2 linked regions of the Neodiprion lecontei genome follow. The protein of the gene in region 1 interacts with the protein of each later gene in a pairwise test. Links are inferred from orthologs where the notes say so. Each region holds a gene or a part of one and is shown in the gene's direction. Other genes may lie near its edges.

Region 1 (7,972 bases):
TTTACACGCGGGGGAAAAAGGAGCAGAGTCAACGGAGGGGGGGGGGGGGGGATATCCCCCCTAAAATTGATGTGACACTGGCTTGTTTTGACAATTTGTGCTGTCATTAGAAGTATTTAATCATTTCTAGTTTTTATTTATCATTGATTTGAAAAGTATTTCATTCGATAATACAATTTTTCTGTTTTATTTTATTCGTTCCTTGGGCCCCATTGAAGTTTGAAATGATATTAAAAATATAAAAGAACAAACTTCATGATAAAACATTAATTTATTTTATAATTGCATATGTATATAGATAGATATATTAATTTATCTCCGTATATTTGGGTACAATTTATGATTACATTGTTATTATTATTTTTTTTTTACAGGGATCGTAATGATTACTTGGAGCTCCCAGAAGACTGCTGTGAAGATCAAAATCAAGAAAATCATCGAGTGGATACCAGCCTAGGTTATCAAGCTGTTGATAAATAAATGCCCTATTTAATTGAATGAAAAGTTATAGATTGTTCATATTTTTAATAAATGACAAAATATTTATTTAATTAAGTTTACCTTAAAAGTACGACTCGTCATTCATTCCTACTTTTAATTCCGAGATCTAGATTCTGATTACAGATTTGTTCGATTTATTATTAAGTTATGTGTTTGTCTAAATATTCGTTAAGTTTGTTATGAATATTTTTTAACTGCAATTTCAAATATAGAACACGGATAGTAGATTACAGTAGCTAGAATCGTATATTTTTAAATATTCGTTTAATAAGCAGTATATACGTGCTGCTTTCATGCTTTTTAATCGGTCAGACGTACGGTGATGCTTACAGTAAAACTAAAAGTCAATACAATCCGCAATATCAAGTCGAACAAATGCACCGCCGACACCACAAATTATGTCACTGATCTCAGTGGTTACCGTTATTAAATTGTCAGTAACAATTATACTATTGATTATCCTATTATTTGATATTAACAATAAACAAGAAAAAAAAAAATGTACACGAAGCTCGATCTACATACTCATGAATAAAACGAACCTCAATAGAATTGAATAATTGGTTGCGAAGATTCAAATTCCCAAAATTCATCCACCTCGATTTATACTCTGCGTTCTGCACCATAACGATTAGTGTAGTTCTTATTGTATATCGCATAGTTTTCGTTAATTAGTGAAACTTTTTGAACCTGTAATTTTTAATTCTATAGTTTTCTCGCGCTGTTTTCAATATACCCATAGCTTTCTTCCGCTTTTCTATACTTCAATCGATACTTTTCTACAGGTGTGCTACACTTGGCTAAGAGTACGGTCTTTTGCTTCAATAAATTCTAAATGAGCCTCGATATCACTTGGATATTGTATTTTCCTACGTTAGTACAAAACAGTTATATGTACTGTTTATTCTTCATTATTCTGCCCGTAAGATTTTTTCTATATAATGCTACAAATCACGTTTGCACATGCGTGTGGGTATAACGTATTGTGATTTTATGACAATAAATTTCGTCAAAAAATACCACAGAACGATCAGCTTAGTCCTGAGAGATTTGAAAGACTACGCACAGGACCTGGAGCGCAGGAACCACGGAGCGCTTGTCCTGAAAGTCGAGTTCCTATAGATACTGGACCTTAAGCGCAGAAACTACAGAGCGCTCGTCCTGGAAGTCGAGTTTCACCATGTAGCGGATCTGGAGCGCCGAAACTACGGAGCGCTTGTCCTGGAACTCAAGTTTCACAAGGTAACAGACCCTGAGCACAGAAACTACGGAGTGCTTGTCCCTAAAGTCGAGTTGCACCAGGTAGTGGACCTGGAGCGCTTGTCCTGGAAGACGAATTTCACCAGGTCGCGGACCCTGAGTGCAGAAACTAAGGAGCGCTTGTCCTGGAAGTCGAGTTTCACCAGGTAGCGTAGCTGGAGTGCTTTTCCTAGAACTCGAGTAGCACAAGGAAGCGGACCAGGAGAGCAGGATCCAGGAGGTAGAGAATGCGGTACTCGAAGTCTGCGGAGCGCGGTTCTCATACGTCCGCTCTACTGCGCGTTTGTTTCCGGACTGAGGAATTCAACTAGCTGATTTTCGTCTGTATAGATCGATGATATCAAGAGAAAAAAAATTTTGGGTGACGTCACTTTCTGAACATCCGAACTTTCGTTTTGAACTTTAATACTATGTATGCTGTACGATGTATGATGTATGACGAAATGATATGATGTATAATGATTTTAGTTTTTACATTTCAGACAAGAAATACGCACTTTATCTTCCCTACCGATTTCCTACCGCGCAGTAGCGCAAAAAGTAATAACAGCAAATACATTCATCGTCTTCATTGTTTTGAGCGATTAAAATAAGTTTGATTACACCACAACGATTATATTTCAATATTTTCCGTCGTGTGAGCAGCGCTTTGTGTGGAAAATTTCTCAAATGTCCGGTTGAATAATCTAATTGTCAGTCTTCTTGTATAATTACAGCTAATTATACGACATTACGGCTAATTACACTGACCCGTCTCTGATGCTTGCTGGGTATGAATATAGCAAGGCATGATAACTATATTACACATGCATGCACTTGCCTTATCGCATTTCAGTGTAAATAATACAAACTGATCGATGTTCGTGTGTGTTTGCATTTTACATTGGAATGAACAGTGCTGGCGACGTTTGTCTAGAAAGTGTAGAGACCTCCACAACCTGATTACTCACGGAGTGGAAATTTCATACCCTGAAAAGCCTGTTGAAAATTCAAAATTTTGCTGCTAGATTTACACGAAGTGTAGAAGAACCCCATGCCGACTGATAATACGCTAATTTAGCTCTTACAGAAAAAACGAAAGGCCGGTGAAACTTTAACGTAAGTCAAACTTTTATTCTGTAGATAAATGAAAGAATTCAACTAAACAATATTTCTGCAGTTTTTCAGCTTTTGGTAGTATGTGTACCGAGAAAATATGAAAGTTCAAAGAACCTTCCGCGGAAAATTGATTTCGCTGCGAAAAGGTTGCAACTTATTCTCAATACACGTACTATCCTTGTGTGAAGAATTTCAGACAGATCTATTCATTTTAAATTTTGTGATGAAAACAAAAACTCCATATTTGTCGAATCCCCCTCACCCCGTAAATCACCTGAAAGAACTCCGAAATCCTGAGATTCCTTAAGTCGCCGGCCCTGGAAATGAATATTATGCATACATTGATATCCCATTGGTTAAAGTTATCTTTTGTGTGTCAACGCCTCTACATAATTATATGTTTCATAACAATTCTAATCGTTCAAATTGCCGATCATCAAAAGCAATTATATAGATTAGTCAACGGCTGCTCGCACTAATTGTAAATGTGTTGATTCACGTTCTGCTACCGCTGATTGTCAAATTTCACGTTTTCAGTATTTTTTTTCGGTTACTTAACGAGAAAAACGTATCTAAAAAATACGCAACACCACACACAAATTGACAACAAAACCGTTACGGTCGTGCAAAATGTAACTCTCAATTCCTAATAATCTTGGCCATCCAAACCATACCTGTTGACTGTCATTTCATAGCATTAAAATTCATCATTTCGAGAATAATGATTAACGATGCCGTTGATGAGAATGATCTGACGGTATTGTTAAGCAATCTGTAATCACGTACAAGGGGCAAAGCATACAGGGACGAACGACAAGTTGCCTGCAACAAGCCGCTGGGCGTTGGACCGCGTACGTCGATAACGCAGGAATCTGCAAACGAAAATAAAGCTATCCACGCATTGGTTGTTCGCAGAGCCGCCAGGTGCGTCGACGCCGTTCCGTCAGGATCGGCTGGCCGTACTCCAGGGTATCTTATGACCGTTCGACGGGTGTGCTGCACGGAGGTAGAATATCCCCGTCTTGAAGTGCGTGTGCACCGTGTGTACGAAGAGAAGAAATGACCGGGAGTTGAGCTGGAGTCGCGGCAAGTGGTTGTGTAGTGCGTGAAGTGCGTGTAGTGGTTTAACACGACCTGACGTTAGATGAGCGGGGAGTGAGCTCGGTGTATGAGAGAAGAGAGGGTCTCTCAGCGTGCACTTTTCGTTCGGAAATCTCGAATCGCGGATTTTTCCCGGTTGTGGAAAATTATCAACGGCGCGAATTCTCGTCCCCAGGAATAATGTGAGCTGACCCGACACAAGCCAGGACTTGGACGGCCTTGAGGGGGCGGTGAGTGACCTTTTTGAATGGCATCTTATGCGTGCAGTGGCGTGTGTGCCATTCGTGCGTACGCGCTCACCGTCCGGGACTCGAACCCCGCCGCCTCCGTTTTCCCACGACAAAAAATACCTGCCGCGTTAATTGCGTACAGGGCTCGTTCCCCTCGAGGATAATGATCCTGCGAAACTAGAATATACGAACGCGCCTGCTGCAACCGGATGCACAAAGCCCCTATGCACCTACTTGCTTTCTTAACGTTCGCTATTTACTAGCACGGTATAAAAACGGGCGTCTTTTGTTTTTAAGTCGATCGACGCCGCATGCGTTATATACATTCCATTCGAATCACGCGACTCATTTTAACCGATGGATTATAAAGATTTTATTTTCGTTCTTAAAGGTTCAAAACTTCTGCACAGGTATATGGTCAAATATTGAATTCCTCTATGGCGATTTCGAAGTAGGAAAGAAAGGCATAATCAACGGTACAATATTTCACACGCTGCAGGACAATGTGAATTTCAAACACTGATTGCGCTTGCCGGGAATGCACCGTGCCGTGGGTATTCTATGTATTCAATGAGTAAATGCATAGCATTGAAAAAGTAAACAACCGTTAGCCTAGCCCAGAGAAGTCGAAATTTGCATCGATTCGTTTACCCGAGCGGTAAAGTGAGTGATCGATGCGTGGAAAATAGTACGCGTAGAGATGATGTCTTACGCTCTGTTGTGATTCCGTTGCGACGAGCCGTGCCGTGATCCCGATCCTTGCTTGCCACTACCGTAGGCATAGCTCAATGAGGTGTTTCCTTCCACCTTGATATAGTTTATTTGACGAGTAGGTATCGCGTATCGCTGTAGTAGAACGCCTAGGGTGCAGGCAACTGTAACGTCAGGAACCGGTATTCGTTTCACGCAGAGGCAGATGAGCGTAGCCTTCGTATTCGTAGAAATTTGGAATAAAACAGTTGAGCAACGACGGGGAACGAGCGCGAAATTCGAAGAGAAAAAATCCGGTTCGTCAAATTCTGGGCACGCGTTGCGAGTTGTCGATACGAGGCAAATGAAAAAAAATACAATAACGCTCACCCTTCCTCGCGCTCTCTTTGTATTTCTTTTTTTTTTTGTGCGATAAAAGTTGGGATTTGCGATGCGAGGCGAGTGCCGTTGACGCATCCCTCGTTCATTGGCTCGCTCGAGGGAGGAAGATCGATATTTCGACGCTCGGCGTCCCGACGTCGGAGCAATACATGAGTCACTCACCCTCGCTGAAGTGGTGGTACTCTTTTGTAGCGTGTAGCCAGAGCCATGTCCGATATCTAACCCGCGTGCGCTTGGGTGAAACGAGCGTAGATGTACATATACATAGAATTCACATGACATACAAGGTACAGCAAACGACGGGTATTCACATTTCATTGTTTGAATGCGTATCACGTATATGCGTGCGCGATTTAAATATTCCCGGCGATGTGTGTTGAAAGCGAGTAATATAACGAAACTATGGTAGCAAGGAGTTGAATATTTGAGAGAAATTACAGAAATGTAGCAATGATAGCGAGAGCAAAACGCGATTAAGATATCTTTCGAGAATCTTACCTTTTTCATGTCTGTATTTAAACGTACGTTCAAGCTCAGCATGAGTATGCGATAAAAAAATAAAATAAATAAAAAATAAACTGATATGCTAATACCGATGAAGGGTTTAAAACTGCGGCCACGCCGTTTCACGGGGGAATTTATACGCCTGAAACCTGTTCCTCTGAACGTTATTCCTCCAACCGACGATTAGCGTTCTCCTATAAAGTTGTTCCCTCGAAACTTAATCTAGAAACGATTTTTATCCATGTTTATTCACAGCTCCCGCTCGCTTGCTGCTCGCTGTTTATACCACCACCGGCAGAACAACTCGTTGAGTTTAACGTTGGAGGATATAGATATAATTAAATGAAAGTATAACCGCGCCGACACCCGAATACCATTTGCTACTAAACATATTTCATATCTTTGTTTCCCGACACTCTGCTCTTTAAAAATCGCTAAAATACCGTCTGGCTTTCACGTCAGTCACGAGAAGAATTCAGTAGCAGGATTGCTAGAATATCGATTAAGTTTTTTCGACTTCATTTTTTCAGCGGTAAAATCGCACGCTTTTCGGAATCCATAGCTAATCAATGTTACGTATTAGAATTTGTACAACACAGATGCGAAATTACGAAATCAAAGAAGTGTTAATTAAAAAAAAAAAAAGAAAAGCCTTTATGTGCGTAACAGGCTTCCAAGTTCGTATAGTAATATGCGCCTACGTAAATATACTCACGTATTTGAGATGCAGGTAGAGTCCGAGTTTCCACCTGCTATTCGTCTAGCCTGCACGGCGACGCGTTGCAGGGTGTTTGTATAATGCATAAACGAGTTTTTCCCCTATGATTATACGTTGAGACAGAGAAAAAGAAAATCTGAAATGTTCAGCGAATCGTGCACTCGGTGCACGCGAGCGCGTCGTCCATTGGTGCAGGATATGGAAGAGGAGGCGAAGGTTTTAATAAACTCGTCGATTCGGCGGGGCGAGAAAACCCACCGAAACCCTAAATCCCGAAAAAGTTACAGCCAAGCGGCCCTAAGATAATTGGACGGACCGGATTCCATACAAGTCAGCCGCCTCCTTCGTAATTAATAGTTCCAAAGTCCTCCTCCTCTCCCTTCGTTCGTTTCGTGTTTCGGACCGGAGTCACTCGACCCGTCGAAATAATACCCACGCGTCTCTTCTCATCCTCGTAGTTTTTATACGTGTGCAGGTGCTGCCCAACACCCATGCTACACCCGAACCTCGCATGTAAACCGAAAACTTTCAAAGTCGTTTCTTTCCCCGCTGCGCGCGTTATTCCGTCGTCTTGCAGTCGTAAATTTCCCTAAACACGCGAGATTCGCCGGTAGAGGTGTACGTTCGACACACAGGCACGATAATTTTATTACTCGCATCACGCGTGCGGTATCCATATGTTATACCTCGTTGCCCACAATACTTAACCAACTTTATTCCATTTGTAACGACTCAACGGTTTTCACCTACCAACTCTTTCGGAAGACTGAATGCGAAAGTCGAACCAATCTCTAAATGAACATGTCTCTCCATGTCCATTTTACACCGTCCGTGTAATGTAGAACTAATGAATTGGAACAGAGATAAGTTCATCCGAGTTGAAACAAAGGCGAAACAAACAAGACCACAGTAGAATGCTAACCACTCTGTTGTACCTTAGTCATTACACTATAACGTTAACGAGGGATCCTGAGACTTGAGGATAACTCGAATGACGTTGGATCATCCTTTTTGTTTCAGATATCGAATCGGCACGCGATAATTACAATGCGGATCATTGCTCGGAGTGAAAATGGAGACTAGAGGAATAAGATGTTCAAATATATGATGCAGAGTATCGGGACCGCGACGTGACATGGCAAGAGCAATATGGATACTTCTGTGCCTTCTTGGTCTATGGCCACTCGCGGAAGGCTACTTGGCGGTATTGTCGTCGAGTTTAGAACCTGGAACCGTAGTATTCGAGGCCGGAGTGCCTCAGCTCGGAGGTAAGCGTAAGTACGAAGCATCGGTGGACAGGACAGCATGGTTCGCGAGGAAGCTGCTGAAGGTGCATCCGCACACGGGTCGAGTAACGCTGGCGAAGACTCTGAGCTGTGAGGGCCTCCAATACCCGCGACTCTTCACCTTTTACATAGACTCAACGAGTTCAAGACTGGGCCGACCGACCATAGATTATTATAGTCTA
Region 2 (8,285 bases), on another chromosome or scaffold:
CCATATTTATTCAGCTAAATCGTTTCACATCCATTCATTTGGACTTAGTGTGAGAAACCATATTGCTGGACCGTAATTTTGAACCATGCAACCGAAATTTTTCCTTCACTTAACAGTAGCTCAGAAATTTGAATATCCTGCCTGAATGAGTATGAAAAATTCATCAGTGTGCATGGTGTCTGTCATTCAGTGTGGTACGGCCTACCATCTAAACCAACAGTTAAGAAAAGGGAAAAAAACGTGGAAAAAATCACCAGTAATGTTATTGATGCTGAAGCCGATGAACACGAATAAAACAACAACCTTAATATACAACAGAAATAAATCTAAGCGAAATCCAATATCACAAGCTGAGGTCTCAACAATTTGAGAAACAGATTTATAAATAGATGGTTTAAAAAGATTAAACTCTGACGTTTTTGGATGTACTTTGTTCACCATACAGATTTATAGACATTGACTGAAAAAAGTCAAACAAATATTTCAGATTGGATAAAAACAAATTCATGCAAGTACAGTACAACAGATATTTGTCAACGATTAGAAATGCTAATTATAACTATTCAGGAAAGTAAAACTTCTTGAATATTTTTCCGACAATTTGTGGCAATGAAATTAATAAGAAAAATACGCCCAAAAACATGAAAATTGTATCAAAAATACCAGAGTTTTATCATTTGAACTGTTTTGATTATGAAACCTATTCTTAAATTGTTAATATCGTGATATGTATTATTCCAATTACCTTTGAATAATTTCAATTACATAGTAAAGTGTTCACCATCACTGAAGAAAATAGCATTGCTGAATACGTTTTAAATGATTCGTTCTCTATTCCTAATTTTTTAATTCAGATGATAGAGCGCATTCTTTCTTGAACTTCACATTGTACGCTGTAGAACATATTTATTACCATGATTCAGTACTTTATAAAACTTTATCTGCTTATATCTTGACTTTGTCCGATAGTAGAACCTGGTATCAATTCATTGCTAGTAGCATAAAATGATTTTGAAAAATTGAAGCTGGTTTTAATATGCTGCTATTAAATTGCTAGAATATTTTTTAGGAATATTTGGGAATTGGAAATATTCAGTGATCAAGTTTATAAATTAAAGTTTTAAACATTGGTGTCTTTATCACAAACCTTTGGTAGTACTACTTCTGTTCTGCAAGCAGAGTTTGCTCTTGGAATAGTGTGAGTTCTGCATATCATAGGCGATGTATTTATCATCCCTGGACCATATGCCGCCGGGCATATTGAGGTGCATAGATTTACCCTCGGAGGAAAATGGCTGCGGAACATTGCTCTGCATAGATCCATTGAGACTCACGGCGCCAGTACAATCATACGAATCAGTGTACGAGTGTTCGGGATTATCTTGGGTCGTGCAGTCCCCAAGACTAAGACCTTCTGATCTAGTATTGGAACAAGTTGCCGGCCCATTTGCCTGGCAGAATAATATAGGTCCCGTTATATCTCGTGCTCTCTCCGGAGTGAAACGACCCGTTTCGTTTCCAAATATCTGGGTCATGTTCTGGGGTAGCGGTATCGTGGGAGCAGATGGGTAGGACTTTACTGCAGAGGCATGCAGACTTTTCTTCTGGTTGTTTTCATTGCTATTTCTTAGATCTCCACTAAGTACAGCTGAAAATTGAGTTTTACTGTGATAATTATGTTCACTTAAATTTACAACTTTATAATTATATTAAGGATTCAGGTGTCAATCATTTGCAGATTTCTGCAATCCATGCATTGGGAAAATAAAAATACAATAACAATAAAAACAAAATTTGATACTGAAACGGAACAGAGACCTGTGTGTTTATGACGCGATAAAGCCGTTTGTAGGATATTTAAATATCCCCCTTTTGCACAGTTTCCTAATTTCAATGCCATACCGATGATCACTTTCACTCGTGGTACTTAAGTGTGTAGATAAATTGCCGAACGCTGTTCTTTACTTGTTTAATTGCATTCAAATGTGTATATTTAATTGTAATCGTTGATGAGTCCGAAAATTGAAAAACTTGAATGTGAAAGAACACGTTTTGAGAATTCTAAATGATTTGTTTTTTGTGAATACGTTTCGACGAACCTTGACAACCGTTCACGCCGATTGTCGGACTTCTAGTGTTCTGATATTATTATCATCATTGCGCCGATGATACATCAAAATATCATTGGTCGAAGTTATGCGGCTTATTTGATTCGTGTGCTTGTGCGCATGACGACTAGAATGAATTAAAAACTGTTAAAAATGTCTGTGGATAATTCACATAATAAGCAAAGACGTTACTGCGTGACTGAAAAATCTTCAGTCAACAGATGCTGTGGTGTCCGGTCGATAATAGTAGATACACTATTCTTAGGAGCTTTCCAGCAAGGAGACACAGTGTGACACTGTGTTTCACGGTCGAACACTGTGCCTTGGTGCTTGTTGGAACGCTCTGAGGTTCTTAATTCAGTCACTAGAGTCCGCTCATGCGTTATACGAAAAATCTAGGATCATTGAGCGCTCCAGGAAAAAAAAAACATTTGTGAAACGCGTGCAGATTATCATTGCATTTAATAAATAAATATAAACAATACCATGCGTCGAAAATAAAATCTCTAACTAAAAAATTGGCAGCAATGAATCCGACACAGTGTCCAACCATGCTCCGCAGCTGTGTCCGACTGTGTCGCTCTGTGTCGTTGCTGGAAAGCTCCCCTTTTTAACATATGCAGAGGGCAGAATATCATAACGGTCGTGGCAGATGAAGCCGTAAAAGCTGATATATAGGCAGTTGTGTTTCGCTGATTTCTTTGAAATCTATAAGGAAGGAAATAATATAAATAACGGAGCATTTAAAAAAAAAAGTCGAGACTTAATCGACCACAAGAAGCCGTATCAGCGATCGGTGGCTTCTTTATCGGCGGGAGCTATTAAATCTACAATCTCATAAAACACACAAAAACCCATTAGGTTAACCGTTTTTAACAATCTTCGAGCTCGAATACATCCATGATGCATCCCACTCACTAATATATCCTTTGCAAAGATTCTTGAAAAGCAGGTCTGCTTTATGGTGCTGCCCCACGTAGGGCCGAATCGCCGGAATCCGCAACGACGGAACGGAATGGACGGAAAAGTCACTAAAATCTGCGTTCCAGTAATTTTATCGCGTTTTATTTTTACGGAATGGTGGATTCGTCCAGTATCCGCATATTACAACATTCTGTTTCGAGCGCTGCAGGAGTAGTATATATACAAATACGAAAGAAGAGTTTGTACACAGTGCGATTATTAATCGTGAGTGCTTCCCATGTACCCAAATTCCGGAACAGAGTTCCGGAGGGTCAATTTTCATTTTATGAAATAATTAAATACATGTATGAACAAAAATGAATTTGACATAAGACCTAATTAAATAAATTGTATACAGTGATGCAAAATCTTTATCCAAACAGACAAATGAACCCGAATAGCACAAATATGAATCTACATCGTTCCATCGTTCCATGAAATTTTGGTATATATATGGGATGGCAGGATTTTTCAAAACCCGGAACGGACTCAGAAATCCACTAGATCTCGTCTGCGTTCTGTTCCGTTACTGCGGATTCCGGCGATCCGGCCTTACATCGGACAGCAATATTACCCACCATATTGGTCTCATTTCAGACCCTTTTTTTCAAAAATCTTCTAGTTTTACTGATAGAGTAGTCAAATTGTTTGAAAATTTTGGAAGTGATAGAAATCACAATTGTCCTTTCCAGCGATTATACAAGCACAACTGTAAATTCTGTCGTGTCCAAAAGTTTAAAGACGATTAACTTCTAGGGAATGTGGCAGCCGTTGTAGGGTTGATTGTAAACGTTAAGAGCACATACTACAAGAGGTAGTTTCGCGTGCAGCGGGGTGATACCATAGGGTGATACAAGTTTCCACTTCCACTTTCTTATTTGAGACCGGATGACATTCTATTACCACAGAATTAAATGCAAAGTGAAATAGACGGAGAAACCCGAGGATATCTTTCTCTCTCTCATCACATCGGCCGCATTTTTTGCAAGGTCGTTGGAATGGGTGCATACCACTGGGTGTATACTACCTCCAGTAGTATATGCTCTGTGGTAAACTGATTTTAGCAAAGCGCTAGTCGTTCCCTTCTCAGTGTATGCTCGTAGTTAAGGGTCTGTTTACAATCCTTGCATTGTTTATGGTGAACTCTTATGCATACGGGATTAAGTACATACAAAAGAAATGCAGCTAATAAAGTGAGCGATATTGATAGCTCGGAGTAAAGTGAAATATGTCCGCGTATGACGTACGGAAATATTAAGCACAGTCGTTGGTTTTCGCACTCCGAATTACTGATCGCCGTAGCAAAAGCGTCTAAATATGTTGTCGCTTCTATTTGCGTACCTGATCGTGGCGGACGTCGTCAACGTGAGTCTTGGGCTTCACGCGCGAGACCCCCTTGAACATCATGGGCGATGCGAGCCGATAACGATACCGATGTGCATGAACATTCCGTACAACGAAACGATCATGCCGAACCTGATGAGCCACCAGAAGCAGGAAGAAGCGGGTCTCGAGGTACACCAATTCCTCCCACTGGTCAAGGTAAAGTGCAGCCCAGACTTGCAATTCTTTCTGTGCTCAATGTACGTTCCGGTCTGCACGATATTGGAGAAGGCAATACGGCCCTGCCGGTCTCTTTGTGAGAGTGCAAAAGCTGGCTGTGAGTCACTCATGAATCGCTTCGGCTTCCTCTGGCCGGACAACTTGGAGTGCTCAAAGTTCCCTGTTTTCGGTCACGACGAAATCTGTGTTGGTGACAACAATACTGCATCCACCGAGCCTTCCAGACCAATCGAACCGCAGTCCCAAGGTCCCAGAGCAGAGTATCATCCTGGCTGGAATAACCGGCCATCCGATGGCAGTGACCTCTTCGGCGCTCGAGACTTTGGCTTTGTCTGCTCTATGCAGTTCCAGGTTCCTCACGACCTTGGCTACAGTCTTAAAGTAGGGGATGTCACAGAGCCGAACTGTGGCGCACCCTGCGACGACATGTTCTTTACTCCAAAAGAGCGCCGCTTCTCTAGAATCTGGGTTGGCACTTGGGCCTCCGTCTGCGCAGCCTCCTGCTTCTTCACCGCTCTGACCTTCCTCATTGACACGGACCGCTTTCGATATCCCGAAAGGCCAATCATCTTCCTCTCTGTTTGCTATCTGATGGTCGCCCTCGTCTATGTCGTCGGATGGGCTGCAGGCAACTCCATTTCCTGCCGCGAACCCTTTTCTCCGCCTCTGAATGTCAGGTTCGAGACGATATCCACCGTCACGCAGGGGACCAAGCACGAATTGTGCACCGTGCTTTTCATGGTCTTGTACTTCTTCAGCATGGCCTCCAGCATCTGGTGGGTCATTCTCACTCTTACTTGGTTCCTTGCTGCTGGACTCAAGTGGGGGCACGAAGCGATCGAGGCTCATTCGCAGTACTTTCATTTGGCTGCTTGGGCTGTTCCTGCCGTCAAAACTATCACCATTCTTGCCATGGGGAAAGTCGAGGGTAAGTATCAATAGGCCTTGGAATCTATGAAACTGTTATTAGCAGTCAAAGTTAGCAGCCAAGTATATTAAACTTGTTACAAATGGGGTAATTTAATAATGTTCACTTCTAAGATTTTCTGATATTAGTATCTTTACATGAGGAGTGACAAAATTTTGATCACCGAGTCTGACTGCTTTAATTTAATAAAAACGGCAAGTTTGCAGGCTGCGAACCCTGGCTGCTAGCGTCAGCTTCATTCAAAAATTTTATATTATTCCTTATTCTCCTAACGAAAAAAGAATTCTTAGAAATCACACGTTGACCAATCAAAACCATGTAAACTGGGAACTGTTGCAAGATTTTTGTATGTATAGAAAAGTAAAGCAAATGTCTGGAAATTTATTAGGAAATATATGCAGATCTTCTTAAAAATTTCGTAAATTATGGTGTTCTATGAGATCTTTCAATTGATAAATCACAATTTATAATTTAAATAAATTAGTTGTTCACAATTGTTCCTACTTGCTACGGTAAATTATAAGTTTTTTTCAAGTTGTTTGTTTCACTGCTGCATTCACTCGATTATCAGTATTTATCTATCTGATAATTATGTTATGAATAACAGGGTCAGTATGCGAAACGCGACATGTAAAGATGATAAGTTAGAGAAACAGAGAAAAAACTGAGAATTTTCAAATCTAAATTGAGTAGACATTCGGAAATTTTTTGTGTAACAAAAATTTGAAATGATTTGAATTTTCATATTTTTTTTTTCAATATTTTTAATCAAGTCGAGCTGGAGATGATAATTGGCCCAATTTAGAGAGAAAATTCATATTTGTTCAGAACATATTTTGCATCACTAGACTAAAGAAACCCCGACTTCTGGTATTTTGCTTATGTTCTTATAGTACTACGTAATAGAAGACGGGGGTGGATTGCTCAGATCTAATAAAAGGTTTTTTAAAACAGTTGTGATTAGTTTAAAATGCAGTTCAAGAAATATTTTTAAAAAAGCTAGAATTATGAAAAATTTTAACAAATTTTCAAGCAATATCAAAGTTTTTCCACAAATCAGCGAAAATTCATTTTCATTACACTCACTTTTTCAGCAACTCTTATATACCTCTTAATTAATTCTCCAACTATGTTTTATTGAATTCAGCCCAGCAATTTTTTTAAACTTCCGTAGCTTGAGACAATTATTACATTTTATCTAAATTCATTTGGCAGTTTCAATAAATTCTTTCTTTGTGCACTTATTTTTATATTTATAGTGGATTTTAGCATATCAGAACAAATGCAATCTTCTCACAAGATCCCGTGAAATGTGAGTGCAAATTATCCTAAAATCCAAACAGAGAAATTGAATTCACCGTATCTAAGCCCGTGTCAGTGAGGGGATACAAATTTGTATTTTGGCATTTTGTAATGCTAAAGTCGTGCCGCAATAATTAAATTTTTGTTTTATTTTTCAGGGGATATCTTGTCCGGAGTGTGTTACGTGGGGTTGTGGAACGTCAAGGCACTGAGAGGCTTTGTGTTGGCGCCGTTGTGCGTCTATCTGGTACTGGGAACGGCGTTTCTCCTTGCAGGATTTGTATCGCTGTTCCGCATTCGCACAGTAATGAAACACGACGGAACTAAGACAGACAAGCTTGAAAAACTAATGATTCGCATTGGTATATTTTCTGTGCTTTACACAGTGCCTGCGTTGATAGTTATTGCTTGTTTATTCTACGAGCAAGCCTATTTCGATCATTGGATGCTCAATTGGTGGTCGGAAAAATGCATCAAGTACTCAATTCCTTGTCCCGTTGGCGAACGAACACGCGACCTTGGTCGTCGTCCGGAATTTGAAGTCTTCATGATCAAGTATCTGATGGCAATGATTGTCGGGATAACCAGTAGCTTTTGGGTCTGGTCAAGCAAGACGCTGACTAGTTGGAGGCAATTTTTCAACCGCATTCAGGGACGGCGAACCGAAGCTTATGTTTGAAGATTCATTTCCTTCTATTAATGACTCTTGATAATAACTTCGCATCAAAATCAAACCAGTTTTATATTTTCTCATTTTCATTTACTTTCATTTTCACTGTCATTCAAACATTGCTGTTTGAACAAGATTTTTTTTATTCATTCCCAGTGGTTTCTATGCAACAATCATGTCAATTTTTATACATATATCGAGTATTTTTCATCGCAATTTTGTTTTTAATATCTATAACAAGCTGGTGCGGTTTACTTCTTTGATATAGTGTGTACAACGATAGTAAGTTGTACGCATTTCATGATAATGTTCGACAAGACAAAATGACGTTTGATTCGTTATTGTCTATAAGTGCAGTAGAACTTCGAAAAAAATCTGATTAAAAATCGCTCTCTCCCGTGCCACTTTTTTTTTACAAGGGTAGCTTTAATATGTGAAATAATTAGCAGCTATTACCTAACCAAGTCTGATTAATTTTTTTCTTGTTTTACCACTAGGTTTAACACAATGTTATTTTATCATTGCACGTTATTTAAACTCACCATCGTAATTCCGCGAAAGTTTTATCTTCAAGGATTTGCCCGTAAGGTTTTGTACTGGAGCATATTTTATAAGTGTTAGTGTTTTCATACTTGTAACTTGTATCCATCATTGTCAGACTTGAAGAGTTGATGGACTAAAACTCGCGAGAAGCTAGTTTGTGCACAGATCTGACTTTTCCTGACTGCTGACATAAAAACAGAAACATAGA

The links.
Region 2: the proteins of protocadherin-like wing polarity protein stan (region 1) and frizzled-2 interact in binary tests that used the Drosophila melanogaster proteins (3 or more experiments, as listed by UniProt). The link is inferred for Neodiprion lecontei from reciprocal best matches to the Drosophila melanogaster genes stan and fz.

Annotation. Positions count from the first base shown.
Region 1 is NC_060263.1:37,739,431-37,747,402, forward strand, and holds the start of protocadherin-like wing polarity protein stan, read left to right. Parts: upstream 1-3,796; 5' UTR 3,797-4,190; intron 4,191-7,524; 5' UTR 7,525-7,639; coding exon 7,640-7,972. Other genes in the region: cystinosin homolog, read left to right, coding at 375-480. UniProt on the Drosophila melanogaster protein: Involved in the fz signaling pathway that controls wing tissue polarity. Also mediates homophilic cell adhesion. May play a role in initiating prehair morphogenesis. May play a critical role in tissue polarity and in formation of normal dendrite fields.
Region 2 is NC_060261.1:11,923,993-11,932,277, reverse strand, and holds the start of frizzled-2, read left to right. Parts: upstream 1-4,161; 5' UTR 4,162-4,388; coding exon 4,389-5,562; intron 5,563-7,022; coding exon 7,023-7,543; 3' UTR 7,544-8,285. Other genes in the region: uncharacterized protein LOC107217846, read right to left, coding at 1,148-1,648, 1,819-1,900. UniProt on the Drosophila melanogaster protein: Receptor for Wnt proteins.